4 linked regions of the Notamacropus eugenii genome follow. The protein of the gene in region 1 purifies or fractionates together with the protein of each later gene. This does not show direct contact. Links are inferred from orthologs where the notes say so. Each region holds a gene or a part of one and is shown in the gene's direction. Other genes may lie near its edges. The genes, in order: EIF3B, EIF4G1, EIF3D and EIF3K.

The links.
Region 2: the proteins of EIF3B (region 1) and EIF4G1 purify together in Homo sapiens (affinity purification with western blotting; 7 studies listed by BioGRID and IntAct, with this or other methods). This does not show direct contact. The link is inferred for Notamacropus eugenii from reciprocal best matches to the Homo sapiens genes EIF3B and EIF4G1.
Region 3: the proteins of EIF3B (region 1) and EIF3D purify together in Homo sapiens (affinity purification with mass spectrometry; 10 studies listed by BioGRID and IntAct, with this or other methods). This does not show direct contact. The link is inferred for Notamacropus eugenii from reciprocal best matches to the Homo sapiens genes EIF3B and EIF3D.
Region 4: the proteins of EIF3B (region 1) and EIF3K purify together in Homo sapiens (affinity purification with mass spectrometry; 7 studies listed by BioGRID and IntAct, with this or other methods). This does not show direct contact. The link is inferred for Notamacropus eugenii from reciprocal best matches to the Homo sapiens genes EIF3B and EIF3K.

The regions. Positions count from the first base shown.
Region 1 is NC_092874.1:386,499,670-386,506,889, reverse strand, and holds the start of EIF3B (eukaryotic translation initiation factor 3 subunit B), read left to right. Parts: upstream 1-4,208; 5' UTR 4,209-4,345; coding exon 4,346-4,904; intron 4,905-7,220.
Region 2 is NC_092873.1:57,030,764-57,038,487, reverse strand, and holds the start of EIF4G1 (eukaryotic translation initiation factor 4 gamma 1), read left to right. Parts: upstream 1-4,717; 5' UTR 4,718-4,844; intron 4,845-6,466; 5' UTR 6,467-6,524; intron 6,525-6,683; 5' UTR 6,684-6,717; coding exon 6,718-6,777; intron 6,778-7,041; coding exon 7,042-7,128; intron 7,129-7,447; exon of another isoform or gene 7,448-7,585; coding exon of another isoform or gene 7,586-7,618; intron 7,619-7,724. Other genes in the region: PSMD2 (26S proteasome non-ATPase regulatory subunit 2), read left to right, coding at 68-151, 1,035-1,203, 1,330-1,424, 1,561-1,687, 2,192-2,310, 2,424-2,606.
Region 3 is NC_092874.1:293,568,214-293,575,186, reverse strand, and holds the start of EIF3D (eukaryotic translation initiation factor 3 subunit D), read left to right. Parts: upstream 1-3,969; 5' UTR 3,970-4,241; intron 4,242-5,533; 5' UTR 5,534-5,543; coding exon 5,544-5,666; intron 5,667-5,967; coding exon 5,968-6,013; intron 6,014-6,189; coding exon 6,190-6,326; intron 6,327-6,973. UniProt on the Homo sapiens protein: mRNA cap-binding component of the eukaryotic translation initiation factor 3 (eIF-3) complex, a complex required for several steps in the initiation of protein synthesis of a specialized repertoire of mRNAs.
Region 4 is NC_092876.1:31,814,504-31,821,494, forward strand, and holds the start of EIF3K (eukaryotic translation initiation factor 3 subunit K), read left to right. Parts: upstream 1-3,975; coding exon 3,976-4,253; intron 4,254-6,991. Other genes in the region: MAP4K1 (mitogen-activated protein kinase kinase kinase kinase 1), read right to left, coding at 132-187, 583-647, 1,161-1,251, 1,341-1,398, 2,435-2,533. UniProt on the Homo sapiens protein: Component of the eukaryotic translation initiation factor 3 (eIF-3) complex, which is required for several steps in the initiation of protein synthesis.

The DNA.
Region 1 (7,220 bases):
TGAGCACCATGTAAGGTAATATAGAAGCTACTTGTCAACATGGACTGTACCCAACCTCCTTTTTCCAGGAAAAAGTATATTCCCAGAATAAAAAAAAAAAAAGGTTTTTTTTTTTTATCCAGTGGTATAACAACAAATAATAACTGGCATTTATGTAGTATCTCTTATGTGCCAGGCACATTTTACAAATCTTAATCTCATTTAATCTAACACTCCTGTGAAGTAGGTACTGTTATAACCCTAATTTTACAGGTGAGGAAACTGAATTAAACGGAGATTAAGTGACTTACCCAGAGTCACACAACTAGTAGGTTTCTAAGACTGGATTTTAACTCAGGTCTTTCTGACTCCATGTCCAGTTTTGGGCCATCTAGTTAGCTCAATCCAAGGGCTCTGCAGGAGCCAAAATACTTAATTGGATTTTAGTCTTCTCACAGCACCTGGGGAAGGATTCATTTCAGGAGGACAACCTCTAACTGAAATTTTTCTTCAATTATTTAAAAATATCATTCTGAGGAGTCCATAGACTCTATCAGTCTGTCAAAGGGATTCATGACAAAAAAAATCAAGTAAAGTGAGAAGGCAGACAGTGGCTCATAGGATACTTTGGGGATCTGTACAGTAAAGACTTGACTATAATTTCAACCTCAGACACTTATTGTATTACCTGGGGCAAGTCACTTGACTTAGTCCTCTTATCTTTCCACTTTGTATTAGGCGTGGTTTCAACCCCAAGGAACCAGATGCATGCCCCAGTTAGATAACCTCCTCATTTCTTAACTTACCACTATGCTTGTTACCTCAGGCATTAATGGATAGTCACCACCTCCCTCAACCCTTTCTCCCTCTAATTAGAGGACTGGAGGGAGAGTTCAAACTCCCCCAAAGTCTTCCTTTATTTTATTCTTAATTAAAATTTTTTATTGTTTTAGAAAGAGAGATGAAGCCTGTTTGTAAGGTTCCTTTCTGAAAGCATGGTTATCATAATAAATATAAACCTAACAGGCTAGCTTCTCACTTGTGATAATGTTCCAGATCGAGGTTCTTGAGACTATTTGGATAAGATAATAAACTATGTATAAGCATTTGTTCTGAAAGGAAACCATACTCTGGGCGGAAAATGGGGATCAGCAGCATAAAGAAAAAGTTTTTGTAGAAAAAGATAATCCTTTGTGAGGTGTTTAATCAGATCTTTCTCACTTTCATTCATATAAACTTGTTTTTAAAGTATGCTAATATTTAAGATTTTCTACACTTATAGTTAGAAATGTTTATAACTAGCAGTTACGAAATAACCAAGTACTCCCATCAAAACCTAGAAACAAATTGCTGAAACCAACACTTCTTAATCTGATCATAATCAGTTCATGAAGGTTTTGATATTTTTACAGCTTGAATGCCTTTTACTGAAATGGTAAAGGAAAAGCAGATTTTATGTAACATAAGTATATATTTTTTGAACTCTATGGAAATGAGATTTTAAAATCACTTAAGGATATCTTTGAGAGATCAGTTATGTCCATCTTCTATGAGGAAGAACATGCATATCCTGGAGCTCTTTAAAAAATACAATATTCATTAATTAAAAACTATAGCATTAATAAAAATCACTTATATATAGTTCATATATATAGTATACGTTTGGTCTAATAGCAGTGTACTGACAGTGCTCTGAAACAGTATTTCTCTATTAGTTTAAATAGAATGTATTTAAGAAGCAAAGGCTTCCTTTATAGAGGGCTCAAACTGGACTCAGATCATTACCCTCCACAGAACAAGATGCCTCAGTTCAGGGTGCCCTCCCCCCCTTTTCCTTCCTCCTTTTGTGTGCTGTTTCTCCCTTTAGACCATAAAGTCCTTAAGGGCAGGGACTGTCTTTGTTTTTATTAATTGCATCCCCAGACTTGCACAGTGCCTGTACACATCATAGGTGCTTAATAGGTACATAGGTAGTAAGCACCAATGTTTACTGGACTGGCCTTAAGCTGTATGCCTCAGATTCCTCATCTGTGAAATGGGGATAATGACAGCACCTACCTCCCAGAGCTGGGATGAGAATCAAATGAGAATAATTGTAAAGCATTTAGCAGACACTATACAAGATGTTAGCTAGTTTAAGAAAATTATTATGAAAAGCAAATGAAACTGTTGTTGTTCAGATATGTCCAACTCTGTGAGACTTCGTTTCGGATTTTATTGGCAAAAACATTGCAGTGGTTTGCCATTTCCTTCTCCAGCTCATTTTACAGGTGAGGCAAACAGGCTTCATGATTTGCCCAGGGTCACACAGGTACTCATTGTCTGAGGCCAGATTTGACCTCAGGAAGGTGAGTCTTCCCAATTCCAAACTCAAAGCTCTATCCACTGTGCCTCCTAGCTGCCCCCCCCCCCATAAAAGTTATTATTACCATTACGAAGATCAAATGTGATAACTGTAAAGCACTCAGCACAGTGCCTGGCACCCAGGAGGGGCTATGTAAATGTTGTCCATCATTATTACTAGGATCAAAGGAGATAAGTGGAAAGCACAGAGTCTCACACATGGTAAGTTACTTGAATTACTACTGCTGCTGCTACTACCAATACCACTACCATCTTTTTTTTTTTTATCTTTCGATTCCTGTGTAAATTGGATTTAAAGGAGGCAGAGTTGCACGAAGTTGTCAGCCTCACTCTCTCCTCCAGTCATCATAGTCCAGTGGCAGGACAGAGTCAAGTCGGCTGGCAATGGCTCAGGATGCAGTGGCGGCTTTAGTGTCCAACCAAGTTCTAGATGCTCCACAAGGCCTGCTTCATCTGCCTTCATGGCTGTTGGAACAAATTGTTGTCATGCACCCATTCCATCAGAGGAAGTCTTCACATGCTTGGGGTAGGCATCCCCTAACTCACCAATGGATTTGAGGACCCTTGGTTACCCTCAACCTGGTTTGGCCCATCGGCCTAAAGGGTTTACAGGGTGTGGGGGCTGTGCATGCTGCTGCTTCTTGGAGCCACCAGTGAGAATTAGGTGGAACATGTGAGCACCGAAGGTGGAAAGAGGCCCGCCCCCCCCCCCCCCCCCCCCAAAAGGGCTGGCAGCCATCACCAAAAGTACTGGTCCTTCCTGAACACACCCTACACCACCACCACCACCACCACAGGCACTGGGGTAAAAAGCAGACCCCGCCCTCAAGGAGCTCACATTCTTCGACCAGTAAAACTTGCGTCCAAGGTCCCCCCCAAAAGCCCCTCCCCGACCCCTGGGTGGAGGAGCTGCCACACCTGAGATTTCAGCGGGAATGGGAAACTCCGGGAGAGGACACGCCCCCTTAGAGCGCCGATGGGAAGAGAGTAAATGACTTGCCCAAGGCCGTACATCCCCCTCCAGGCTAACCTCCCACGCCACGCGAGACCCTTTGAAAGAGCTCCGTTTCCCTCCCCCCCACTCGACCCACGGCCTCCGCACCACTGTCAGGGTCCCACCCGAGCACGGGAGCCCCAGGTGGGCAGGCTCCAGGGGAGGAGGTCTCTAGTGGGCCGTTCCATTCCGGAGAAACCACCGATTGTGGGGACAAAGCAAGGGATAAAGGCAGCGGCAGGGAGAGTTAGAGAGAGGAATGAGAGTACCCCCACCGATCCAACTACGTCATCGAAGTTAGCAGAATCCTCCGGATGGAGATGGTCAGCTCCTCCGCCCTGCCCAGACTTTCTTTTCCACTTTGGAATGGTCCGTTTCTTTGCCTAGTCAGTAGACCAGTCTAAAGTGTCGGGCGCGGAGGGGGAGTTAGGATTATGACCTAGTAAGTTCTCCGTTTAGAAGTTAATAGAACACTACCTAATAATTTTACTGAACTTTACATTTTCTCTGGAATTGGTTAATAGGTCACATTTCTTTTTCTTTTCTTCTTTCAAGAAAGGAACTTCTGCCTCCCCCTTTTGAGGTTCCCAAATGGTTCAGGCTGTTAACGTAGAGCTTAACGAGACACTACGAGAGTGACTGCCATGTTGGACCGAGCCAAATTGTTTCCCCAAGATGGGGGGGCCCAAAGTTGGAGAGTATTTAATCTAAAGAGTTAGGCGGCATCAACGACAGGAACCCCGCTTCTTGTGCCCGTAATGGAAGTATTCCAGACATTTAAAAACAGGTTTTCGTGGCTCTGAGCTTTTATAGGCAAGCTGTGGCAAACGAGGGCGTGGGACCTTCCCCCTCTCCGTAGGTCCGTTGGTACGGTCCTTCCCCCAGGTTGGGCGCACATGGCTTGGGAGTAGGAGCCGGCGGGCCCCGCGGTGGCAGCTGGTAGAGTCGGAAGTTTGGTGGCGGGGAAACCAGGGGAGCAGCGAGAGCTGAGCGGCGGCGCCAAGGCCCATGCAGGACGCGGAGAACGTGGCGGTGCCCGAAGCGGCCGAGCAGCGGGCTGAGCCAGAGCAGCAGGCCGCCGAGGAAGAACCGGAGAGGCCTGCGGGGCCCGGGCCTCAGGAGGCGGCAGCTGCCGCCTCCGTGCTCGTGCCCGAGGAGAAGGGGGAAAAGGACGCCGCCGGGGTGACGGTGACCAAGCCCGGGTCGGAGCCCGAGGCAATCGCGAAGCTTCCTGCGGTAGAGAAGGCCTCTGCTGAACCGGCCTCGGCCGGGTCGCCACCGTCGTCGTCCCCACCTCCAGGGGAGCCGCAGCTGCCCGAGAAGGTTCCCGAGCCCAAGGCGGAGCCGCCGGCGGCTAAGGAGGAGACGCGGGAGGAGAAGGAAAAGGCGGAGGACAGAGGAGGGAAAGAGGAGGAAGAGGAGAAAGAGAAGGAGGAGGCTGGGGGCGAGAAGGAAGACCAGGGCAAAGAGGCGGAGGCCGAGCCTCGGCGCCTGGAGAATGGCAACGAGGAGGACGAGATCTCCTTCAGCGACCCCGAAGGCTTCGTGGACGACATCAGCGAGGATGGTGAGAGCCGGGGCTTGGGGTGGGGGACGATGGAGAGGGCAGGGACCCCCAGGGAAGGGAGGACCGGTCCCCCGCCTCGAGATAAGAAACTGCTTTTTTCCCCTGAGTCTGGAATGGTCACATAATAACAATAGTCTCTATTTATCTTTCCTGACTACCACCCAGGGTGCCGAAGAATTATCACGAGACGAGGAAACTGAGGCATGTAAATGACCTACCAAAGGTTGCAAAGAGCTCTCTTTTTGTGCTTTGGACTCCTTTGGCAGTCTGGTGAAACTAAGACATTGTGTTTCCTAAGGTGGTAAAAGGAAACTGATCATGCTGAAGTAGTGGTCAATTTCACTTTTTTAGATACCAGTTTCAGAGGTGTAAGGTCTAGAGCCAGGATTTGAACCTGACTTCGTTTCACTCCATCATGTCTTTTTCTCTACTTATTCGTTGATTCAGATTTCTGTTGGTGGAGAAACTGTATATATTATGTACAATGAATGAATAGGACAGGTTGGGGGATGGGATGGGATGGGGTAGGGAGAAGAGTCTTGAAGACCTGAAGGCGTTACTTTTCGTGTCTGAGCCTCAGTTTCCTCACTTGTTAGATAAGAATAGTTTCATCACCTTCAGAGTGGTGAGTATCAAAATCATGCATATGAAATACTTTTCCCAGTTCTTTAAGTTCTATAGAAATGGGAGCTTTATTCTATGTTGTAATTTTCTTCTCATTTTTGTGAGAAAAGGAAGAGAAAGAGATCTTTAAAAATACTGCTGGTCTCTACAGGTTTGAGTCAAAAATGTCCAAAATATAGTAGATCAGTGTTCCAGGAATTTATTTTGTTTTACAAAAAAGATTAAATACCTTAATGTGTTTTACTCACAGGACCCTGACTCCAAGGTCTGTGGGTGAGGTTGCCACTTCTTTCAGATAACTAGGAATATTTGCTGTACTGTATTTTAGTCTCTGGGTTTTAAAACAGATGCTTCTTTTTCAGGGAACCTCAGAACAGGTCCAACTTTATAACTTAATTTCCCCTTCCATTTAATTAAGCTTTTAATTGATACACAGCCCACTAATCTTAGATTTTCCTATAACTGATGGGGGTTAGAGTTAGTTGTAAAGGGGCAGCAAGCTGTCAGCATCTGTCTAGGTGATCTGCTTCTCCATTTTTAAACTCCGTAAATGATGTGTGATGTAATAATAATTTGTATTCATGTAGAATTTTATGCTTTCTTTAATATAAATTTGAGAGTTACAAAAATACAGGTACAAATATTCCCATTTTACAGGTGAGGAAACTTGCAGTAGAGAACAGATTATAAAGAAAGGAAAGAGGATTTGAGTTTAGATTCCACCTATAATTTGTGTTTTGTTTTTTTTTTTGTACCTTGAGTAAATTATTGCACCCTTCAGGGTTTTAGTTTCTTTATTCATCAAAATGAGGAGTTTGGACCAAATGGCTCCTGAAGTCTTTTTCAGCTCTAGATCTATGATTCTGTGCAGTGGGTTCCAATCCCAAATCGGCCAATAAAATAATTCGTTTGATGTGAGGTAACTTTGCCTCCATGGGCTTCAGTTTCATTATTTCTGAGATCCCTTCCAGCAGTTAATCTATGATGGGAGATTATCAAATTCAGTCTCATTTTTTTTCTTATTGAACAGCTTTTAATTTTTTTTGTTACTTTTTCCAGTTAACAAGCTTTTATTTTCTTTTCTGCCTTCCCCCAGGTAAAAAAAAAAAAAGAAAGAAAATCAAAACTTAATAGCATGCATAGCCAAGCAAAATAAATTCCCACATTGGTCATGTCTAAAAGATGGATGTATCTGTATTTTAAGTCGAACACACATCTCTTCATCTTTGGATCTTTGGAATTTCTATTTGTCATTATATTTGTTAGAGTTCTAAAGCCTTTCAAAGTTGTTTTTCTTTATAATCTGACACCTTCATTTTATAGCTGAGGAAAGTGATATGCAAAAAGGTTAAATGGCTTCCTCAGAGTCACTTAATTAGTAGCAGAAATGGAATTGAGACTCATAGCTTCTGTTCCTTAAATCTATCACTCTTTTATCACACTGACTAAAATTAAAAGTAATAATCAACTCTTTTTTAGAAATACATAATAAAAGAAAATAGAATGTACAAAATTGTTGATATAAATTAAAAATAATAGTGGATTATGATTGACCATTCATTGAATTAAAACTAAAAAACATAATTTTAGTTCCATAGTAGTGGTGCTGCAATTGAAATGTATCAAAAGGGAATTCTTCATAATACATTTTTAATGTTCATGAATTAATTCAGGGTATACATATAGTTTGAC
Region 2 (7,724 bases), on another chromosome or scaffold:
GGCACTGGGTTCTGGGGGCCTCTCGGGGCTCCATGGCTTACCTGCTGTGCCTTCCTCTCTCCGGCAGGGAGTGGCTGTGTTGGGCATCGCCCTCATCGCCATGGGGGAGGAGATTGGGGCTGAGATGGCGCTCCGGACCTTTGGTCACTTGGTGAGTTGAGGGGCCAGGAGAAGCCCTCTGGCACTCATGTAGACCAGCACTTTGAGACCCAATGGCGCAATGACCAAAAATTAATTCAAAATCAAAGGCCTAATGAATCCCCAGGTGTTTCTGGCTGCCCTTGTCCATGTTGCATCGTCTCAGTCTCACTGAGGCCTTCATTGTGAACGCAAGTGTGTACACTCTGCCCTGTGCGCGCCCTTGGGCCACACAGCAATGGTGAAAAGGGATGGGAACTGGGAAAAGCCTAAGGAGCCTGGATCAGACCCGTGCTTTTAGATTTATAACAAAATCTTGTTAGTTTAGTGAGGTGCAAATACCTATTCACGTGCACATTCTGGAACAGAGCGAAAGGCTATAGCGAAGCCCCAGACCTCTTTGGTTGGCTTGGGGATCGGAGCCCACAGGGTTGTTTCCCAGTGCAGACTGCCTTGTTCCTCATTTCCCCTTGACCTCTTCCTCTCCCAGTTGCTTTTCAGGTTTTGCTCTTATTTACATACTGTGCTCAGCAGGGCTTTTGTCAAGGGTTTGGGTTTGCAGGGGCTCTCAGATCCTCTTTAAATTATTTGTCTCTTCCCCCTTTTCCTTGAGTTCTTCATCTCACTCACATCCATTCCATTCATGTATCACAGTCTATCAGTCATTGCAGTTCCCTTATTTTACAGAAGATGGAACTTACTGTCTTGGGTGAATGATTACCCCCCAGGCTCAGAGACAAGAAATGGCAAAGCCAGGGCTCAAGCCCCTCTCTTCTGACTTTACCCTGTTGGCCCCCAGGGGCCCTCACACATTTGGATCAGAGCCTGTGGGTGCTGGGATGGGAGCTCTCTCTTCGAGCTCCCTCTGACTTTTTTTTATATCCTCTACCATACAGCTTAGGTATGGGGAGCCCACGCTGCGCCGGGCAGTACCTCTGGCATTGGCCTTGATCTCAGTCTCCAACCCAAGGCTCAACATCTTGGACACCTTAAGCAAATTCTCCCATGATGCTGACCCGGAGGTATCCTATAACTCCATATTTGCCATGGGCATGGTGGGCAGTGGTGAGTATCAGCAGAGAAAGGCAGGTATTGGGCACAAGGGGGCATCTGGGCCAGGTTTGGGGAATGACTAACTCTGTGTAGCATCCCTGCCCCCAGGAGTCCCTCTCTGCTGCTTCATCTTCTCAGGTACCAACAATGCTCGTCTGGCTGCCATGCTGCGCCAGCTAGCCCAGTACCATGCCAAGGACCCAAACAACCTCTTCATGGTCCGCTTGGCCCAGGTGAGGGGGGTGCTCTTCTCTAAGAGACCTGGAGGTGTGGGGGCAGGGTGGGTTGTATACATGTTGGGCCTAGACCATCAGGCTTTCTGGCTGGCTGGTCTTGCTGGAGTCCTGACCCTCCCTGTATCCTAAACAGGGCTTGACACATTTGGGGAAGGGCACCCTCACTCTCTGCCCCTACCACAGTGATCGGCAGCTTATGAGTCAGGTTGCTGTGGCTGGGCTGCTCACCGTGCTCGTCTCCTTCCTCGATGTCCGCAACAGTGAGTGCCCCTTGGAAAAGTCCTAGAAGGGCTGACTCAGCGTCAGGGCAACTCTCCCAAGATGTTAGGGCTCCTTTGGAGATACCTGGATGTTCAGGTTCTGACCATTGGGTGGGTCTTGGGGCGTAGCTGTGCTTTTCTTGGGCTACTCTTGTACTGTTTTATGCCCAGGCCTGACTCCCTTTAGCTGGGCTACAGTGGGACTGGCTGGCTTCTGGGGTGAGGGACTGGCCATTAATTCCATTGTATTTGGTGTTTTAGGTAACTTTTCCCCACCTTTCAAGAGTCAGGCAGAGTGACCTCAGGGTTAGGGGAGCAAGCAGAGTGTGGGCAGAATGAAAGAATGACAGCCCTGGGGAGCATAAGGCAGTTTGGGGAGTGAGGAGCGTCGAGACGGAGGAGGTGGGTTGGGGAAAGCTGGGGGTGCTGAGCTAGAGCCACTGAGGCAGCTTAGGAGTGGATGGAGGAAAGCTGGTCACCTGCCCCTCTCTATTTCATTCTTAGTCATTCTGGGCAAGTCCCACTATGTGCTCTATGGGTTGGTGGCTGCCATGCAGCCCCGAATGCTGGTCACCTTTGATGAGGAGCTCCGGCCGTTGCCAGTATCTGTCCGTGTGGGCCAGGTGAGAGATCTTCAGGGGCTGGAACACGGCAGCCATTCCTCTGGACCTCTGCAGGGCAGGAGGGCTACTGGATTCACTGCTCTAAGACTCTTTCTCCATTTTTTATCCTTTAGGCAGTCGATGTGGTGGGCCAGGCTGGGAAGCCCAAGACCATCACCGGATTCCAGACACACACAACTCCAGTGTTGCTGGCTCATGGGGAACGGGCTGAGCTAGCCACTGAGGAGTTTTTGCCTGTCACTCCCATCCTGGAGGGCTTCGTAATCTTGAGGAAGAACCCCAACTATGATGTCTGAGTGGCCCTGGGGGCCCTAAATTTTAACTTGAGTCTGGGGACTAGGCAATACTCCTTATTCCAGAGGTGGCTCTCCAACAGCCCTTGGGGGGAAGCTGTTTCCCTCCTGTTTTTTTTTGTTACAGAATGAGATGACTATGTTGAATTAAAGACCCTTGTGCCCTCTGTTTCATTAATGTCTTTTTTCCTGGGGTGTGCTAGCTGGGGATGAGGGTACCTGGGCACAGGCTGGAAGGAATGTTCTGGATCACCAAGTTTTTCAACAATTGAAAGTTTATTTCTTTAGCTCATCAGTCACTAAGCATTCATTAAATTCATTACTGTGTGGCAGGCACTGGTCATACAAAGGAAAATGAAATCGTTCCTACCTACCTTCCAAAGAGCTTACTTTCGTTCGTGTGTGTGTTTTCTACAGCTTCTGTACGCAAGCTCTCAGGGGAGCAGGAAATCTATTTTCACCACTTGGGATGGAAATGGAGGCTACATCCCAGTGAGGTTCCGCCACTCAGGATGTCAATCTGTGGGTAGCTCTGTTGGAGCTGTTCTCCCTAATTGATTTGCAGTGGAATTAAAAACTAGATAACCACATTTCTTAGTGTGGTGGAGAATAAGAAAGCCCACTGGGTATTTAGGAGTTAGGCCTGTGTGTGTGCTTTCACAAGGGTATCAGCACAGATGGGCTGCGGAGACTTTCTTACTGTAATTTCACGTTTTCATAAAGCTAAGAAAAGTTTTCTGGATGCTCTTTTGCTCTTGCTCCCCGTGGTGCAAGGCAGCCTTGCCCTGTAGCAGATTAAGTGCGAGCTCAGCAAAATCAGCCAACACATGGATTTGTGCTGGACACGATAGGCTACCTCCTATATCCATGGTCCCCCACCTCCGGGCCCTTTCTGCTGACTCTGTGGTTCCCTGCTGTGTTTTTGTGTAGGTCAAGTGATGAGAACATTAAAGAGAATGAGACCGGGCCAGCAGCAAACTGGGCTTCTTGGTCCTGTCTCCATTTCTACTGGTCACTGTTGGACAGCCTAGCCTTGACTTTCCCTACAGTCCAACTCTACTGACCTCTGCCACCTCCGGGAGAGTAAGCCTCTGGGGTTGGGAATCTGAGGCAAACAGGGCGAGGTCACACAGCTAGTACCTGTCTGTCCTCCTAACGCCAGCCCACCTGGCTGCCCCTGCCCTTCCCTGACCCCTTCTCTTATGCTCCGCTATTATCTGCTCTCCTCGGACCTTAAAAGTTCCCCGCAACTTTCAATCCAAAAGACCTTCAGCAGCCTCCTACGGGCAGCTGGTGGGTACTCGTGGGAGAGGCCCAAATGGCATCACCGTGATACAGCCAAGTTCGGCGCCCCACCGAGGCCCACCAGAACCAATCGTGCGTCCCGCGTTTCCTCGGGGCTGTCTCAGTGCTAGCACGTCGTTGGGCTCGCTGTCCTTCGGAAGGAAAGGGGGTGCGGTCCCCAGGACTCACTGGGCCTCGCGCCTGTTCTTTCGTGTCACTTCCGCTGATAAAATCCCATCAGCTTTGGGTGCTTGGCCACCTGCCGGTGCCAGGGATTTTCGTGGTCAGAAGCCCATTTACCTTCTGCCACGGAGGGGACGGGACAAGGCCCGCTGGGGGGCATCACGCTGGGTGGGCACGGGCTGGGGCAGTTCCTCCAGCTCCTCCGGTCCGCGCTCAGCCCACACGTGGAGATGGGACGCGGACGCGGACACTCCATCCATGCGGCGCTCCCGGACCTCGTGACCTGGGGGCCCTGGGGGAGCCTGCGCCAACCTCCTCCGGCGGAGGGGGCACGACAGCCCGGAGTGGCTCCTGAGGGCAGGGTCTGGTCCGCGGCGGCCCCCAGGGGCTCCGAAGGCCCCCCCCGACAGAGGAATGCGGTTGAGCCAGAGTGGAACTTCTGGCCTCCCGGCGGGCTCCACGTGATCGACGAGGGCCCCCGCGGCTGGGGGCGGGGAAGACTCTGCGTAGCGGCAGCGGGGGGACGCCGGCGTGACGGCGATGACGACACACGCCGCAGGCGGGCCACCTCCCAGCCCCGGCCGGTGCCACCCAGCCCCCTGCGCCGCGGCAGTCACGTGGCAGGCCGGGCCGCGCCTGCGCCTGCGCCTGCGCCTGCGCCTCGGGGAAGAGGCGGCGGCGGAGCCGGAGCGGTGTGCGGGAGCCGGAAATGGTCGTGGACGGCGCCTGTGCGGCTGCGTGGGGCTCGGCCGCGCGGACTGAAGGAGACTGAAGGTAACGGCGCCATGTCCGGGCCCGAGCCGGGCCCCCTCCCCCCGGCATCCGCCGCCATCCGGCCCGGGGCCGCCCGCTCGGCCCCGCTGCCGCCGGGCCCAGCGCGGCCCGGCCCCGCCCCGCCGCCCGCCCTCCCTCCGGGCCGGCCGGTCCCGGCCTCGCGCTCAGCCCAACTCGGCCCGCCGCCCGCCCGGCCCCCTGCCAGCCCACGTGTGCCGGCCGCCGGCCGGGTCGAGCGCGGGGCCGGGCCGGGGGCCGGGGCCGAGCCTGCGGAGCGCGGGGTCGGGGTCGGGGCCAGGGCCGGGGCCGAGCGGGCGGCGGGGCGGGAAGTGACACGTTGTTCTCTGGCGCCGCCGCCTCGGGAGGGAGGAGCCCGGGCCGGCCCCAGGCCCAGGCCCAGGCCCAGGCCTAGGCCTTGCTCGACCCCGGCCCGGCTGGTCGACCCGCTCCCTTCTCCGCTCCCCTCCTCTGCCTCTCCCGGGTGCGGGCCCGGCCGCCCCCTCCTCCAGCCTGTGCTCGACCAGAGGAAGCCCAGCACCTACTGTGTGCGGGCCGCGCGCCCCCCCGGCAAGCGTTGCCTGTTCTGCACCTACTGTGTGCGGGCATTGGGGTCCCCCCTCCGTGTTCTTGGCTCTGTGAGATCAAGCACTGCCTGCTCAGCCTCCCTGTGTGCCAGGCACTAAGGCCCCTTCTTTCCTCTTGTTCTGTAAAGAAATCTTTGCTGTTCAGCACCTACTGCGTGCCAGGCGTTGGGCCCTAGCCTCTCTTCTTTACTCTGTAAGATCAAGCACCGCGTGCCAGGCATTTGGGGACCCTCTTCCCCTCCCTCCTGTCTGCTCTGTAAGAAGCCTTCTTATCTGTCACTGCTGTGTGCCAGGCCATGCAGCCCCATTTCTCTGCTGGCCTCTGCTCCGTAAGAGCAAGTCTTTTCCTGTTTAGCACCTACTGTGTGCCAGGCACTGGGGTCCTCCCCTGTGTTCTCTGCTATGTAAGATCAAGCACTGCTTTTTTGGTCCCTAAAGTATGCTGGGCGTTCACCCCCTCCCTTTGTAAGAGCAGGAATTTCCTATTTAGCCCCTACTGTGTGCCAGCCACTGCCACTGTGCCTGACCTCTCTCTCCTTTTCCCTATCCCCCCAGTCTCTTTGCTCTTCCCCTTTTCCTAGGACTAGTATGTCCTCAGGGCTTCTCTCAGGAACCCCAGGCAGGCCTCCTGACCTTCCCTTCAAACTCTCTCCCTCTCTTCTCCATTGTAGGAACCAGTGTCAGTTCTGGTTCTGGACCTCTTCCTGATAAACCCCCCCCCACCACCACCACCACCTCTTTTGAACTCCTGTGTCCAGGACACCCACCCACCCACTGAATTCAGACCCTCACTTTGGCCCAGCTGGGCCCCAGCTGGCTTCCCCGAGGCTTCCTCTGGCACTTTGTCCTTCACGTGCTTTCTTAGGCAAAAATCATTTATCTTCTGGTGTGTCTCTTACCATCCCCTGGAGGGGGGGGGGGGGGGGTTCCTTCCTTTTTTGTTCTTGGAGCATGGTGCCAGGGAGACCTTGAATTTCTGGTCCGGTTGGTCTTAGGCTTCTGGAGCCAGGTTGATTCCCCCTCCCCTTCTAATCCTAGGCCCCTCGGATGCCCAGAGCCTGTAGGCCACAGCGTGGATTTGTTGTTTCCCGAGGGGGTGAGTGAGGGGCAGTTGGGGCTGGGCTCAGATTCCTGTCTGTGGTCTGGAAACCTGCAAAGGTGGGAGACCCTAGCTTTAATTATTAGGGACTGAGCTTCAAGGCCTTAGATCCCCTCCCTGGTGCCTCTTTGAACACACGCCCCCCTCTCTTCACAGGTGCTGGGGGGACCCTGATGTGGCACCAAATGAAATGAACAAAGCTCCACAGCCCACAGGCCCCCCACCTGCCCCATCCCCTGGACTCCCCCAGGTAATGGGGGACTGTAGAGAAAGGCTGGGCCCAGAACTGAGCTGGGGGGGAGAACAAGTTCCAGTTGGATTCCCCAGCCCCTAGATGGGAGGCAAAGTGGGAGTCTTGGTGGGGGGGCCCATGGCCTCCTGGTTCTGGGGGAACTGAACTTGCCAGCCCCAGCTCTGTTAGCTGTCTTGTCTTGAGCCACTTTGTTCTCCCCCCAGTGGTTTCCATTCCCCCTTAGTTTCTCTTCTTGCTGAATTCTGGTCTCCCCCTCTATAGCCGGCATTTCCCCCGGGGCAGACGGCACCGGTGGTGTTTAACCCGCCACCAGCGACCCAAATGAACACGCCTTCTCAGCCCCGCCAGGTGAGGGTCTGTGGGGAGGCAGCTGGGACTTGGGGGGCTGGGGAAGGACCAGGAGAGTTGAGTGGTCAGGGCCTGGCTCCTCGCACCTGCCTCTGATCTCTTCCAATCCTTGTTCTCCTGTGTCCCCTTATTCTTTTTCAGTGCATTATTTGATAATGAGTGCCCACAGGAGACACGCCTAGGTTATGGGGGTACCCCTAACGGGGAGCCCCACAGAGCTGGGAGCAGTGCACCTGGGGTGGCCCTAATGGAGCTTACATCTTTTCTGTCTCCTCTCTTCTCCTGGTGGTCGCAGTAGCTCTGGTCATTGTCCCTTGTGGCCACTCTAGCCCATGGGGGAGAGGAGCCCCATTTTTTCTCCCCTGCTTCCTTCCTCCTAAGAAGGGATGCTTCTTTCCCTATTCTCCTCACTCCATCCCTGGCCACCTGGGGGATAATTCTCTTCTTTCCTGTCCCCATGTGCTCTCAGGGAGGATTCAGGTCTCTGCAGGTAATGCCTCTTGCCTGATCCTGGACCATAGCCTGGTCTCCCAGTCACGGGCGGGGCAGCAGGGACAGGGTCCTGGGGGATGATGGGGAGATAGCCTCCTGTCCAC
Region 3 (6,973 bases), about 93 Mb from region 1:
CTCAAGAAATGAAATGGTCCTTTCTTATCTACAAGCTTCTGTCCCAGAATCTTCCAGCTAGAAGGGAGTTCAGAGATCATTTCCTAACTCTAATTCTCCAGTTTTACAGATGAGGAAAGGCAAGGTCAACCAGGCAGAATGTGACTGACCCCAGGTCTTCTGATAAGGAATCCAGCCAGTCCCCTAGCTGCCTGTCACAGAGAAATCTGAGGGACAAGGAAAGTGTTTAGAGAAGGTTCATTTGAGAGAAAACAACAAGATTGTTCCAAACCAGCAAAGTAATTTGGCACTAAGGGCAGCAGGAAAGGATGGAAAATGGAAATCTGTTTTGCCTCTTGTAGCCAGGGCCATGAATCTCTATTTATCTTGGGCTCCAGCAGAAAGTGGATGATGCCTCAGCACTTGGAGCGATGCCCGAGGGTGGCAGGAAGTGGGCTGGCTGATTCAACAGGTCCCTACCTCTCTATTCTGAGAACTGGTCCTGTGATGACTGAGTCTACATTCAATTGAAATAAAAAATGATTATGAATACCAGAGACTCTGAATGGATGGCATGCCTTTCATCCCGAGACTCTTAAAGGCCTGAATCCTCCCAGGTTTTCTATTTTAGAACCTGCTGGGGCGACAAGAGCCTGGGAGGCAGGGGTAGAGTGGTGAGTCAAAGGCTTCCCTTCCTCTCCCTGCTTGGCCCCTTCCCCATCCCCCAACTGCAGCAGGATGATGCAATGCCCTCCTTTCCATATTCTTTCTCCATATTTTTCTACATCTGAGCATCCACCTGGGCTCTGTGAGCACTCTAAAAGGAGGACAGCACAGGTCTGCACTCAGAGGGACTGGGTTTCCTTCCATCAACCACTAAAGCACCTACTATGTGCTAGGTATTGGTTTTGAATCCAGCCTCACCATATTCTGCTTGTACGACCTTGCACAAATCATTGCCTCTCTTCAGTTTCCTCATCTGTGTAACAAGGGAACTGGTTACCCATTAGTAAAACAAGGAAATGGTGCTAAGCTCAACTGGGGCCCCAGAATCTCTAGCTTCTTGTCCCACCTCTACCATCTTGGACATCTCATTTCACCCCTGGAGCCTCAGTTTCCTGCCCTAGAATATGAGAGGAGCCACCCTAGCCACCCTAGATTGTCACCCTAGGAACTATGGCCTCTGAGCCCCAGTTTTCTCACCTATAACATGAAAGCAGGAAACCAAGCAAGCTTCTTATGAACTATGACCTCTAAGCCTCAGTTTCCCCACCTGTAACATGAAAGGAGCAGACCAAATGAGCTGCCTATAAACTATGACCTCTGAGCTTCAGTTTCTTCAGCTTTAAAATGGACACAAAAATCTCTCCTCTGCACCTCACCTCACAAAGTGGTCATGACTCCATAAAGATGCTAAATAACATCATATATTCCAAAGTTCCCCATAAACTGTAAAGTCTCAGATCTGTCACACACACACACACACACACACACACACACACATACACACACACCATTGGCCTTGCTAAGGTGCCTGAAATTCCCACATTCCTCATGTCCCTTGTTTGGGTTGAAGGACTGGCATCAAGCAGCCCTGATTATCAGGGAGATGGGCAGAGGGGAGAAGGGGTGTGTCCAGAGAACTGACCGGGTCAGAAATGCCCCACACCAGGTCAGGAAAAGCTTTACCACTAACCCTTAAGGCTCTTTCCTCCTTAGACCACTGGGCACTTTGTCAGCACATCCTTGTCCTGATTCTATCCAGACTTTCTCAGGCTTACAGGTACTGGGAAATTTCGGGGAAAGGCTGAAATCAAGCAAAAGAAGACAACGGTGTCGGAGATGATCAAGACCTCTCAGCTGCCTTCTCTTTAACCCTTGCTGACCCTAGCTGTCTCCGAGTGCTGGCTTGCCCCTGGCACACATCTATGTCTGACTCCCGGGCCTCTGGTCTTCCTGAGAGCCCTCCCCTGAGACTTAGGTCAACATCCTTCTCCTCTGGCAAGCTTGGCCCAGTCCACACTAGTCTGTGTCTAGGTCACACTAAAGCTGATCCAAGTGTAGCAGCTTCCCAGACCTCTGTCCTCTGCCCTGAGAAGACTGAATCTGTACTGTGGTGTTCTAGCCTAGGCATCTGCTAAATTCTAGGAAGGACATTGTTATAGAGCATGTCCACCGGAGGGTAACTGACATGAAGAGCTTTGAAATCCCACCCTAAGAGGGAGGTGAAAGGAAGTGAGATTGTTTGTGCTTGAAAAGGGAGGAAGGAAAGGCTGTCCTGCAGAAGGGGTCAGAAATGCCCTGCTTGGCCCCAGAGGGCAGGATGGGCATCAGAGGGGGGATGTTCCAAAGAGGCTGATTTCACCTACTTCCTAACAAATGGAACAATCCCCAAAGTAGACTCCCCCTGGTCTACATACAAGGATAGGGTAATTCATCCAACTCTGATATTCAGTAATTGTGGAAAAGTTCCACCCCACCCCCCCATCCTCGAAATCAGCCATCAGAAGCAATCAACAAACTCCAGTGTTCCTGAATCAGAACTGAGCCCCCAGCCTAAAGCCTGCCACCAAATTCCAGCTACAGAGCCTCAGCCTCCTTAAAGGACAGGTAGGGGTACCATCATGCCTAGAGCACCAGTCCTGGACTCAAGACTTATCTTCATGAGTTCGAGTCCAGCCTCAGTCACTTCCTAGCTGTGTGACCCTGAGCAAGTCACTTAACCCCATTTGTCCCAGTTTCCTCATCTGTGTGTGTGTGTGTGTGTGTGTGTGTGTGTGTGTGTTCGTCCTTTGTTGCCAAAGAAGACCATGCCATCAGAGAAATGATGATATGACTTGCACTTGGCTTTGTTTTGAGTGAGGGAAGATTGTGCGGGTAACCAACCTCACTTCTCCTCCAGAGCCATCTGAATCCAGTGACCAGATATTCATCAGGATGACTGAAGATGACCCAGGATGAGGCAATTGGGGTTAAGTGACTTGCCCAAGGTCACACAGCTAGTGAGTGTCAAGTGTCTGGGGTAAGATTTGAACTCAGGTCCTCCTGACTCTTGCACTGGCGCTCTATCCACTGCATCATCTAGCTGCCCTCTCCTCATCTGTAAGATAAGCTGGGGAAGGAAATGAGAAGCAATTTCACTTTCTTTGCCAAGAAAACTCCAAATGGGGTCATGAAGAGTCAGATAGACTGAAAAAAAGATAATTGGACAATTGATTGATTCCTATGATCTCAAGTAGGATCTCTGTGATTCTGTCTTATAGAAACAGCCTAAGAACTGGAAGGGCGTTGGCCAGGAGAGGCTGTGACTTGTCCAGGCTCACAAAGCTTGGAAGGGTCAGGCATGGAATTCGAACCCAGGGCGTTCAGCCCTCCCAGGTGGATTCCCACCTCTCTTCCAGGGCGGGCGCTGGTTGCTATATCCCAGACACCCCCAGAGGGATTTATTGCATCTCCATTTTGCATATGGGGACACTGAGGCAGATGGAGCGATGTGCAAAGTGACCACAGTGGGATTTGAACACAGAATTTCCCGACCCTGGATCGGTCAGCGTGACGTCATACACTTGTCACACGTCAGATTAACGCTAGCTGGAGTTGTAATTATCATAACATCCACAAAGTGGCAGAAGGGCCAGGATGAACCGCAGTGGAGGCAACAGCTGACCAAGGGCAGCGAGAAGGGCAACCCCCACCGCCCCCGCCCCTATCTGGCCGGCCTTGATAACCCCTAGGGTCAGAGAACTGAGGCCGCCGCGGGGCATTGCGGGATACAGAGGAGCATGAGAAAAGAGCCGCCCGCCACGCGAGGCACTATGGGATACAGAGGGGCAGATTAGCGCGTCGTAGTTTTCCGCGGGGTATTATGGGATACTGAGAGAGAAGATAGTAATCATCATCACCTCCACGCCACGTTCCAAGCGAAAACTTGATCCCGCCCCCTCGCCGGACGTGGAGTTTACGTAACGTGTGCACGCCTCCCTTTTTCTCCTTTTAAGACAAGGACTCATTTCCGGGTTCCGCTTCCCTTTACGGCTGTACGGCTCCGCCCCGCCCTCCACCTCCCCCACCCGAAGAGAGCGAAGGGGCGCGTTCTCTCAGTGTTTTACGACAAGGCCGGACGCACTGCGCCGCTTTACGGCGCCGGGAGCTGCGCGCGCACCCCGGGTCCCTTCCTGGTCGGTCCATGGAAAGTGGCTGGTGGCGCCGGTACTGCGCCTGGAATCATCCGTCGCCATCGGGACCCGCCGGGGCCTGAGCAGGTGAGCGGCGTCGGCCTCGGGGCCGGGGGGCCCGGGAGAGCCCCGGCACGTGCGGAGCCCGATGCCCGCGCTCCCCGGAGCCAGCGGCCCCGACCAGGCCTCAGGTCTGGTCGCCGGGTAGTCTTTGCGGGCTCAGTTTCCCCACCTGTACGGGAGTTGGCGTGGGAAGGGCTTGGCCTTCTTACCTTAAGAGCTGTCTCTGGGCCCGGCCCTGATTGCGGGAGTTAATCCTGCAGTGCTTCGAGATCCCAGGCCACCAGCTTCTGTTAAATCCGCGGGCGCCGTGCCCCCGCCCCACTTTACAGCCGGGAAGACTGAGGTTCCGTAGGCGGGCAGTGACCCGACCCTCCCCTGCTTGGTCTTCACTTATGTACCCGTGCCCACCCACGGGGCAGAGGGGGGTCCTGAGAACCACGCCCCGGCCCGAGGGAAAGCCCCGTGTAAATAGCTGGGGCACTACTGGGTTTCCCGCCCTGGGGCCCACCCCGCCTTGGAGGAAGGGTCCGTTCTTGGTGCAGCCCCTTACTCTGGGCCTACCAGCAGCCGTAGAGACCCGGCTCCTGGGCCAGGGCAGTGGCGGGGGCCCTCTCGTGCTGGGGGGGGCTTCCTCTCCTCCTTTGGGTCAGTGAAGAAGTGTGACAATTGTGTTACAACAATGATAAGATTTGCAGTGTTACAATGTATCAGTGGTGCAACTTTAGCTGGGAAGCGTCCAGGTTTGCATGCCATGTCCGCATATGCTAACACCCTCCAGTTTCCTATTGCCTAAATAAAAATGCACCTCAAAGATACGTTGTTATTTATCAGCAAAGCTAAACCCAGAGTCAGGGAGACCTGAATTCAAATGCAGCCTCATACCCCTCCTAGCTGTGTGACTCTGGGCAAGTCACTTCACCCTGCTTGCCTCAGTTTCCTCATCTGTCAAACAAGCTAGAGAAAAAAAATGAGAAATCCCTCTAGTGTGGTTTTGAGAAAATCCCAAATGGGGTCACAGAGAGTCTGAAACAATGGCAACCGATGTCTTCAGGAAAGGATCCTTGTTCTTAGGCTGTGGGTTGGACCCTAGATGTCATTTCTCAAAGCTTGGCTTCTTTGGCTGTAAAAATCAGATGATAATAATCCCTGTGCTGCTGGTTTTAATGGTTGTTGAAATCAGGGAATACAGGGGAGGTGACTCCCTATGGGAGTATATGTGGCTGGGTTTGTTCAGCCAGACTTGAGAGGTGGGGAAAAGCTCTTTTCCCTTTGAGCATCTCCTGGTTTGGCCATAATGATCTGCTTGTCTTTTCAAGGTTTTAGAAGATGGCAAAATTCATGACTCCTGTGATCCAGGACAACCCCTCAGGCTGGGGTCCCTGTGCAGTCCCCGAACAATTTCGGGACATGCCCTATCAGCCCTTCAGTAAAGGAGATCGGCTGGGAAAGGTAACTTCAAGGTTGCAGGGATTCCAATCTGTGAAGCCTGCTGAGGCTAGCTGGCAGCACATGCTGGAGTTTTCATTCTCTCAAAAGCCCAGGTCACCCGTATTCCTTGTGATGATGCCTGCTGAGACAGGCCATGACCTTCTGAAAGTCATTGTGACAGACAAGATGCTTCCCAAGGCACCGTGGCTGGTCTTTTGTTAGCCAGAGTGCTCTGTTGGTCCCTGGCTGGGGATTTCTGAGGCAGCAGTGGCTTGACCCACTGACCTGTGCGTTTTCTCTTCCTCCTTGTCATCCTGATTAGGTTGCAGACTGGACAGGGGCCACCTACCAGGATAAGAGGTACACGAGTAAGTGTTGCTGAACTGACTTTCTGAAGTGGGAACTCGGGAAAATAGCATGTGAAAAGGATTTGTTCCACTGCATGACCCTTTGTCCTGCCTTCCCCGGGTCTGTCTCTTCATCAGAAGACGTTAGATGAGGGGCCTGAAGCTCTAAGTCAGTATTTGCTGTGTTGTCTCTTCAGATAAGTATTCCTCCCAGTTTGGGGGTGGAAGTCAATACGCTTATTTCCATGAGGAGGATGAGACCAGCTTCCAACTCGTAGACACAGCCCGGACCCAGAAGACGGCTTACCAAAGGAATAGGATGAGGTTTGCCCAGGTTAGGACCAAACCATCTTGGGGGTCCTGCCATTGGGTCCAAGCATTACTGAAGATCCTGGCTTATGGGGCTTGGGGTCCATTCATTTACTGAAGTCAGGCTTTCCTTGGGGAAAAGTGGCCCATTGGCAGTTGCTTACCATTTCAGGGCTTTCTCGGGCTCCTTGCAGGTAGGACTAAAAAGGATTTTATTCTGGAGTCTATAAGTATTTGATTTACTTAGTGGCCAGTCTCTGTGACTCTGGGCAAGCTGAGTTGTGAGACATTTGCTGGCCTACGCTAGTGGAGGGAGTGTCCTCACCTGAGAGCTCCTCTACCCCTGAAGTCACAGATTGAGTCCAAGCAGAGTGGCAGGTAGCAAGAACATCCCATCACAGATGGGTCAAAGGAGTGGGTTGGATGTAAGAAGTTGTAATGCATAGCCTGTAGATAGGTGGAGACGCAAGCAAGGGTGGGGACTGCCCAGACCCCACCCTCTGGGAGGGAGGCAGAGGGGGGTGGATCATGGTTTCAGCAACATGCTTCTGTGAAAGTGGTCCCTCACAGTTGGAGTTAATCTGAATGCTTTTATGGTAGAGACATTTTTACACTTTCAGCCATACTTTGCCCCTTTTTATGTACAATTTGACTTGTGTATGGGGACTAATG
Region 4 (6,991 bases), on another chromosome or scaffold:
TGCCAATGGGTGCCAGAGGCAGAACTTGAGCCCCCAATACAACAAACTGTATACAAAATAAAAACAAAGAGAAGGGAAGGGGAAAGGAGAGGGAGAAGAGGGAGAGGGGATCAAAAAAGTGTCATCCTCACCTGGAGTACTTCTCTGCAGATGTAGCCAATCTGAAGCTCAGAGAGAGGGCCAGTCACTGCAACAGATCCCCCCCACCCCCACCCCAGGGGTCAGGGGGCTGAGTCACCACTCAGGCAAAGATAGAATGAAAGAGGAGAAAGGGATGGGAAGGGGAAGGGAGCAGAGTTAATCAATCAATCAGTAAACATATATTAATCGCCTATTACAAGAGAGGCACTGTGTTAAGTACTGAGGATACAAAAAGAGATAAGTATCTGTTCTCAAAGAGCTTCCAATCTGGACTGAATAGTACTGAAATAGCACAAGAATGAAGGGGGGATGGGGTGGGGAAGGCTTCCTGTAGATTGTGGAAGGTGAGATTTTAGTTGGGATTAAAGGAAGCCAGGAAGGTCAGTAGTAGGCTGCTTCTCCACCTGGGGAGGGTACCCCCCCCCCCTTCTGCCTCCTTACTGTGGTATATATCTTGGAGTGAGCCAGCGCCACAGAATTCCATGCAGATCCATAACTTCTGAAGCCTGGGGGGGAGGGAGTGAAGGGAAAGGGAGAGGAGGGCAGGGATGGGGTGGGAGTGGGGGGGAGAGGAAGGAATAAAATCAGCCAGAGTAGGTTCAGTCTCAGGGAGGCTAAGAGTTTAGGGGCTTTATCCAGAGAAATGCCTTGGCCATCCATAGTTCTGAGTCTCTTTAGCTTTAGCGAAACCAGGAACTAGATAGAGGGAACATCCGGCCAGTTGGGAGCCTAATTGGGGTGGGGGAGCAGAGGAATCAGGAAAGTTGGTCTGAAGGGTAATAGGGCCACTTTCAGGAGCCAAGGATATGGTGTGAGGGTTAGAGATTCTTTCTGGGAATCCAAAGGGATGTTGCAGAAGGTGAGGATTAAAGAACTGATTGTAGGTTTAGAGAGTTGGTCTGAGTTAGGAAATTGGGGGGGGGGGAGGCATTGAATAATCAGTCTAGGGGTAAGAAAGTCGATCTAGGGGGCTGGGCAGCCAGTCTGAGGGGTCAGGAAGCTGTCGGGGTGGCCCTGACCAGAAGTAGCTGCCATGGTAGGCCACAATGTTGGGGTGTCGACAGGTCCGAACAATGAGGATTTCCCGATGGAGGGTGGTTAGGTCATCATCTGAAGGGAGAGAAAGGGTCAGAATGTGTGTGTGGACACTAGACATCCCAAGGTCAAGGGTTGGGAGGGATGTCAAATCTCAGTCTCACCTGGTTCTATCTTCACCATTTTCAGAGCTGCTAGTTCCCCTGTCACCTTGTCCCGAGCCTGGGGAAGGGAGGGGGTAATGGGGGAGAAGCAGGGAGCAGGAGATACATAAACCCGGAACAAATGAGCAGAATGGTGTACAAATGTCCCCTCTTCCTGGTAACTCAGAGTTCCTCTAAAAGCCCCCAAACCCAAGAGAAGGTCCTGGGATAGAAGGAAGGACAGGAGAGCTGACCTCCGTGACCATCTACCCCAAGCCCTCCTGGAAACACAAATCTCTCCCCACCATCCCCATCCTCAGCCAGTGGTCATCCAGCCTCCAAAGTCAGTGAAAGGGAACTCCCTACCCCAACCCACAGCTCATTTCCATTTTTTAAAAATGCTAATGGTTAGGGTAGCTCTTCCTCAAATTGAACGATAATCCATCTTTCTCACTCTCACTTCCACCTTTAAAGCTAGTTCTTTCCTCCAGAGCTAGGCAGAGTAAATCTAATTTTCTTCCAGCCAGCAGCCATTGGCAATTTTAAACTAAGTCCTTGGGAGCTGGGAGGAAACCTCTGGGGTGATGCTTCCTTCCCTCCACCTCCACAACCAAAGGATTCCAAAGGCCTCCATCATCTTCCTTAGCCTCCTCCCTGTTGCTTCACCTCAGAAGCAAAGTTCAGAATTCTACTCCAAATACTGGACTGGTCCCCCAGACAGGTGGATTGAAGGTCCTAGGGAAGGGGGGAGGAATAGAAGGATGGGGGATGGAAGCTGAGAGGAAGAAGAAGATGAGGCACTTAGGGTGGGGTAGAGACCTTGATTAGGGGGCTATGGAGGGAGGGAGATGAAAGTTCCTGAGTATGAAGGCTAGGAGTAAGGAAAAAATGAAGGGTTTTCGGGAGCTCGTAAGCAAGAGAAATGGAGTTCCTGGGTGGGGGTGGGGGAAGCGAGGGAGGTAGAAGTTCCTGGGTAGGAAAACTGGCAGGGAAAAAAAGATGAAGGACTTGGGGGGAGAAAAGGTGGCCCTGGGAAAAGGCCTTGGGGAGAGGGATATGAGAACCCTAGAGGAGAGGGGGCAAAGGACATGGGCCCCGAGGGGAGGGCCCCTCACCTTGAATACCTCCCCGTAGGTGCCACCCCCCACCCTCTGCAGCAGCTCATAGTGGTCCTGAGGGTCCTTGGTGGCGATGTCCAGGTCTTCGCTGTCCATGCTGGGGATAGGGTGGGGGGAGGCCTTCGGGGAGGGGGAGGGCTGCCTCCTCCTGGGAGCCCTCTGTGAGCGAAGATGCTTGACTCAGCCTGCAGCAGCAGCAGCAGCAGCCGTGGGAGGAGGGCAGGCGGTATGTTCTCCCCTGCCCGCCAGCCGCGAGGGCCCCCACTCTCGCTTCCTGCCCAGGCCTCACTAGGGGGGCCCCTCCCTCTTCACTCCCCCCCCAGCGGGAGAGCCAGGCCCAAGCTGACTTTGTGGCCCCAGGGGACCACAGCACAACTCTGGGGTAAAAGGAGGGGGTTCCTTTTTGCGTTTAGACAGAAAAATCTCTCTAATGTAAATGAGATGCAAATAAGGCCTTATTGGTTTATCGATTCGGTGGGGGACCTTTCCCCTTTCTCCACGCAGGACAGTGAACATAATGGATCCCCAACAGACTAAAGAGAAGCTGGGATGGAAGAAGACAGGGTGGGGAGAGGCACAAGGATGGCGGAGAGGAGAACTCGGAGACCCTGGTCCAGTGAACCAGGCTTTATGGAGAGCCTTGTCTGTCTGGGTTGGAGGTGGGAGCTGACGCGGACAGCCTGGACAGCACCTTGGAGAGCCCCCAGCTCAACCTCTGCCACCGGGTTTGCAGACTGGGCTCCAGAGCAGCAGCGAGCCCGAGAGGCCCCCGGCCCACTGGGCGTGGTTAGGTGCCGGCCCTGAGCTCGGGGCCTGGCCCTTCACGGGTGTTTAAAATGCTGTTGACCCGCTGACCCCGTGCCTTGGCCAGTCACCGGGCAGGGAAGGAGAGACTCTCTTTATGGGAATATGCGTGGGAGAGACGATCGATTAAGCATCTATTAGGCGCCTAAGGCAAACCAGAGTGAGGGAGAGGGAGAGTCGCCGCACCCGTTCTTATTATTCCGGGGACCGGATGGAGGGGAATCGAGTCACTCATTTAGTGACTGCCACCCTTCCCCCGTCTTCCGTCTCCCTGGGGAGAGAATGGTCTGCACTGGGAGACAGTCCACGGGAGGAGGGGCCTTCCTGGAGGAGGGCGCCATGTGTCCGAGGGGACACCAAGGACAGGGGGAAGGCACCAAGGGGTGGGGGACAGGCAAGAGATCGTGTTGGATGTGGAGTCGTGGAAGTCTCATGTGTGCACAAAGTACACGTGCATCCAGGCGCCCCCCTCCCCGGGACACTCGTGGGGTCTCCAGCGCAGCTGCCTCCTGTCACGTGACGAAGCCGGCGAGGAGGGGCAACAATGCAGCAGCTTTGGTCCCGCCCACTCGAGGGGGAGGGGGAGTGAGCGACGCTAGGGGGAGGGGGAGAGGGCGAGAGAGACCCTGGGACGCCTGCGCACTGGCTCCCGAGGGTTTTTTTCCCCACCTCCCTCACCGTGGGTGAGCTCTGTCTGGCCCGCTCTCCGTCGGTGCGAGTGCGCATGCTCCAGAATGGACCGATCCCGGAAGAGGAAGTCACGTGCTACCCGGAAGCAGCCCCCTCCGCCGCCGCCTTTACCTCCGCCTCCCGTTGCGGAAGAAGTTGACGACCATGCGGCCGAAAGTGTCATCGGGGAAGGAGAACTTCCGCCCTCCCCGCCCCTTCCGGTTCCTGTTGCTTCTCCGGACCCGGTCTCGGCGTCTGCGTCTGCTTGTGAAAAGGAGGAGGCCATGGCGCTGTTCGAGCAGATGCGCGCCAACGTGGGGAAGCTGCTCAAGGGCATCGACAGGTGCGGGCAGGCAGGCCTCGGAGGGCTCCGGGGCCGCAGGGGCTGGGCCCGAGGACGGACGGGGAGGGAATTCCCGGGCCGTGCGGTTACGGCTGTGTGGTGTCCAGCAGCCCATCCGCAAGCGCTTACCAAAAAATAGTGTGACCGCCCCTGGCCTCCAGGAGCTCACGGGCCAACCCGGGATAGTAGGTGCCAAATAGATGCCAGCCAATACAAAGTAAAGGGGGGTGTAGGGGAAGAATTCAGGAACTGAGCTTTGAAAGAAACGAGGGATCCCACAAAGTGGGCCCCAGGAGGGAGAGCATGCCAGGGGTGGAGGATAGCCTGGACAAAGGCACGGAGGTGGGAAATGGAGCTCGAGGAACCGCTCAGAATTGTAGAGTGAGGTGGGAGGGGGATGAATGGTATAATGAAGCCGGAAAGGTAAGTTGGGGCCAAGATATGGGGGGGGCTTTAAAAGCCAAAGGGAGGAGTTGGTATTTGGAATTGGCAATCCCCAGCCCCTCTTGTGTAAAATGAAGGGATTGGATCAAATGCCTTCTAAATCTGTGATCCAAGAGACAGAAAGCAGCTTTTTCAGTTGATTGAGTGGATAAGTGACAGGCCTGAAGTTTGGGAAAGTCAGGGAGGCAGCTGTGTGGAGGATGGATCTGACAGGGAGAACCCCGAGGCTGGGAGCTGATTGGGAGGCTGCTGCTTTCCTCCCTGCCTTCTGAGAGCCCACAGTCTAAAGAGGGAGACAGCATGCAAACAACTCTGTAGGAAAAGGATGAGGTGGAGATAATCATAGCCTGGGGGACAGGAAAAGTCTCCTGCCAAGGAGTTAGAGAAAAAACACTTATTAAGCACCTGTGTTCCAAGCCCTATGCTAAGCCCTTTGCAAAAGCATCTCATTTGACCCTCACAGCTGTTTGCTTACTGTTTGTTCTTTGTTCTCAAAGAAGAAGGTGATGATGCTGCGACATACAAGTGAACCAGATTTAAATGAGGCAGGGCTGTGCAAAGTCCACAGCCTTACTTTCTCCTCTGGAGCCATCTGAGTCCAGTGGCCAGATACAGATCAGGACAACTGGAGGTGGCCCAGGATGCAGTGGGGGACCTTGGCCTTTTCAAGCTAAGGTCTTTATCTTGTCCCGGTTTGAGCGAGGCAATGCCTATTCACTAATTAAGGCTTAATAAGAAATGAGGCAAAGAATGACCTCTAAAAAAATAGATCTGGGAGAGGAAGAACCTCAAAGGTTTCTGGCCAAAACAGAAATAATTGCTACCTACATTTATTCTGAGCTTATCAGGGCCCAAACAGTGACCAAGTAGGACTTGGATTAGGACCTATTATTGGCCAATCAGTGAGCACCAGAGTGATTTTGGGGGATAAGGCTGGTCTTTTAATAAGAGAAGAGGAAGAAAAAGTTTCAGAGATTAAAAATTTACCTTCCTTTCAGACAGAGCACCCAAAGATAAGGGTGTGATACCTTATGTGGACTGAGGGAAAGAAGATAAAGACTAGTTGCCCAATTAACTGACCAGTTCCAATTTAGTCTCCAGTGAACAGCTCCTTTTCTCCTCATGGAGTTCTTGAAGAGGACCATGACATCAGGGAGGGGATGCCATTACATGCAAATAAATTGGATTACAGTGAGGGAAGGCTGTGCACAGTCACCAGCCTCACTTCTCCTGAGCCAGCTAGGTCCAGTGACCCAGATACAGATCAGGAAGACTGGAGATAGCCCAGCATTCTCACAGCAGTCCTAAGAAGTAGATACTATTATTGTTCTCGTTTCACAGTTGAGTAAATTGAGGCAGACAACATAGCTAGTGTCTGAGGCAAGGTTTGAATCGATGTCTTACTGACTTGAGGCAGAAACCAGAAGGAAGCCTGGAGGCAAAGATGACAAAGAGAGCCTTCTAGACTTTCAGAGTTTAGAGATGAGAGCAACAGCTAGGAGGCCAAAGAATGGTATAAGATGAAAGGAAAGGCTTTAAAAGCTCAACAGGAGTCTCTCTTTGATCTTGGGGGTGATAGAAGCCCCTAGAGTTTGAATATGGGCCAGATGACTGGTCAGGCCAGTGCTTTAGCAGTTGGGGGGTGGCTGCATGGGAGTAGGAAGAAGCTTGTGGCAGGCAGAAGACACTATGTTGGGTTCGAGGGGTACAAGTAGAAAGAAAGGAGGCTCCTACTCTTCAGGAACTGGAAGGAGGCATCATGTAAGTCTGTCAACATGTGTACCGTCAGTGTTAGTGTAAGGTAGGGCACTGCAGTGGTGGGAGTCAGGGAAAGTTTCATTGTCAGGGCGGTTTGAGCTTGGGGGAGGACGGGTCATGAGGCGGGTGGGGAGCAGAGGCTGGGAGAAGTTGGGACCAGGTAGCAAAGGGCTTTCTGAGTCTCCTTGGCTGGATCTTCATCCAGCTCAGGACTGCTAATAGAAGGGTGACCCCACCAAGGCTGCCTGGGTCTCTGCCTGTCTTCATCTATATTTCACTTGGTGATTCGCTGCCATGGATTAAGTGATCATCTATATTCTGTCAACTCTCCAGTCTACTTATCCAGCCTGCTGACCTCTCTACTCACCTCTCCAGCTGCTTATTGGACCTCTTGACCAGGATGATCCATTTGTTTTTGGTCAGTTGGATCTGACCCGGTGGACCACAGCCCACCAATACTGTCCCGGGGATTTTCTTGGCAAAAACGCTGGCTAGGTTTGCCATTTCTTTCTCCAACAGGTTAAGCAAATAGGGTT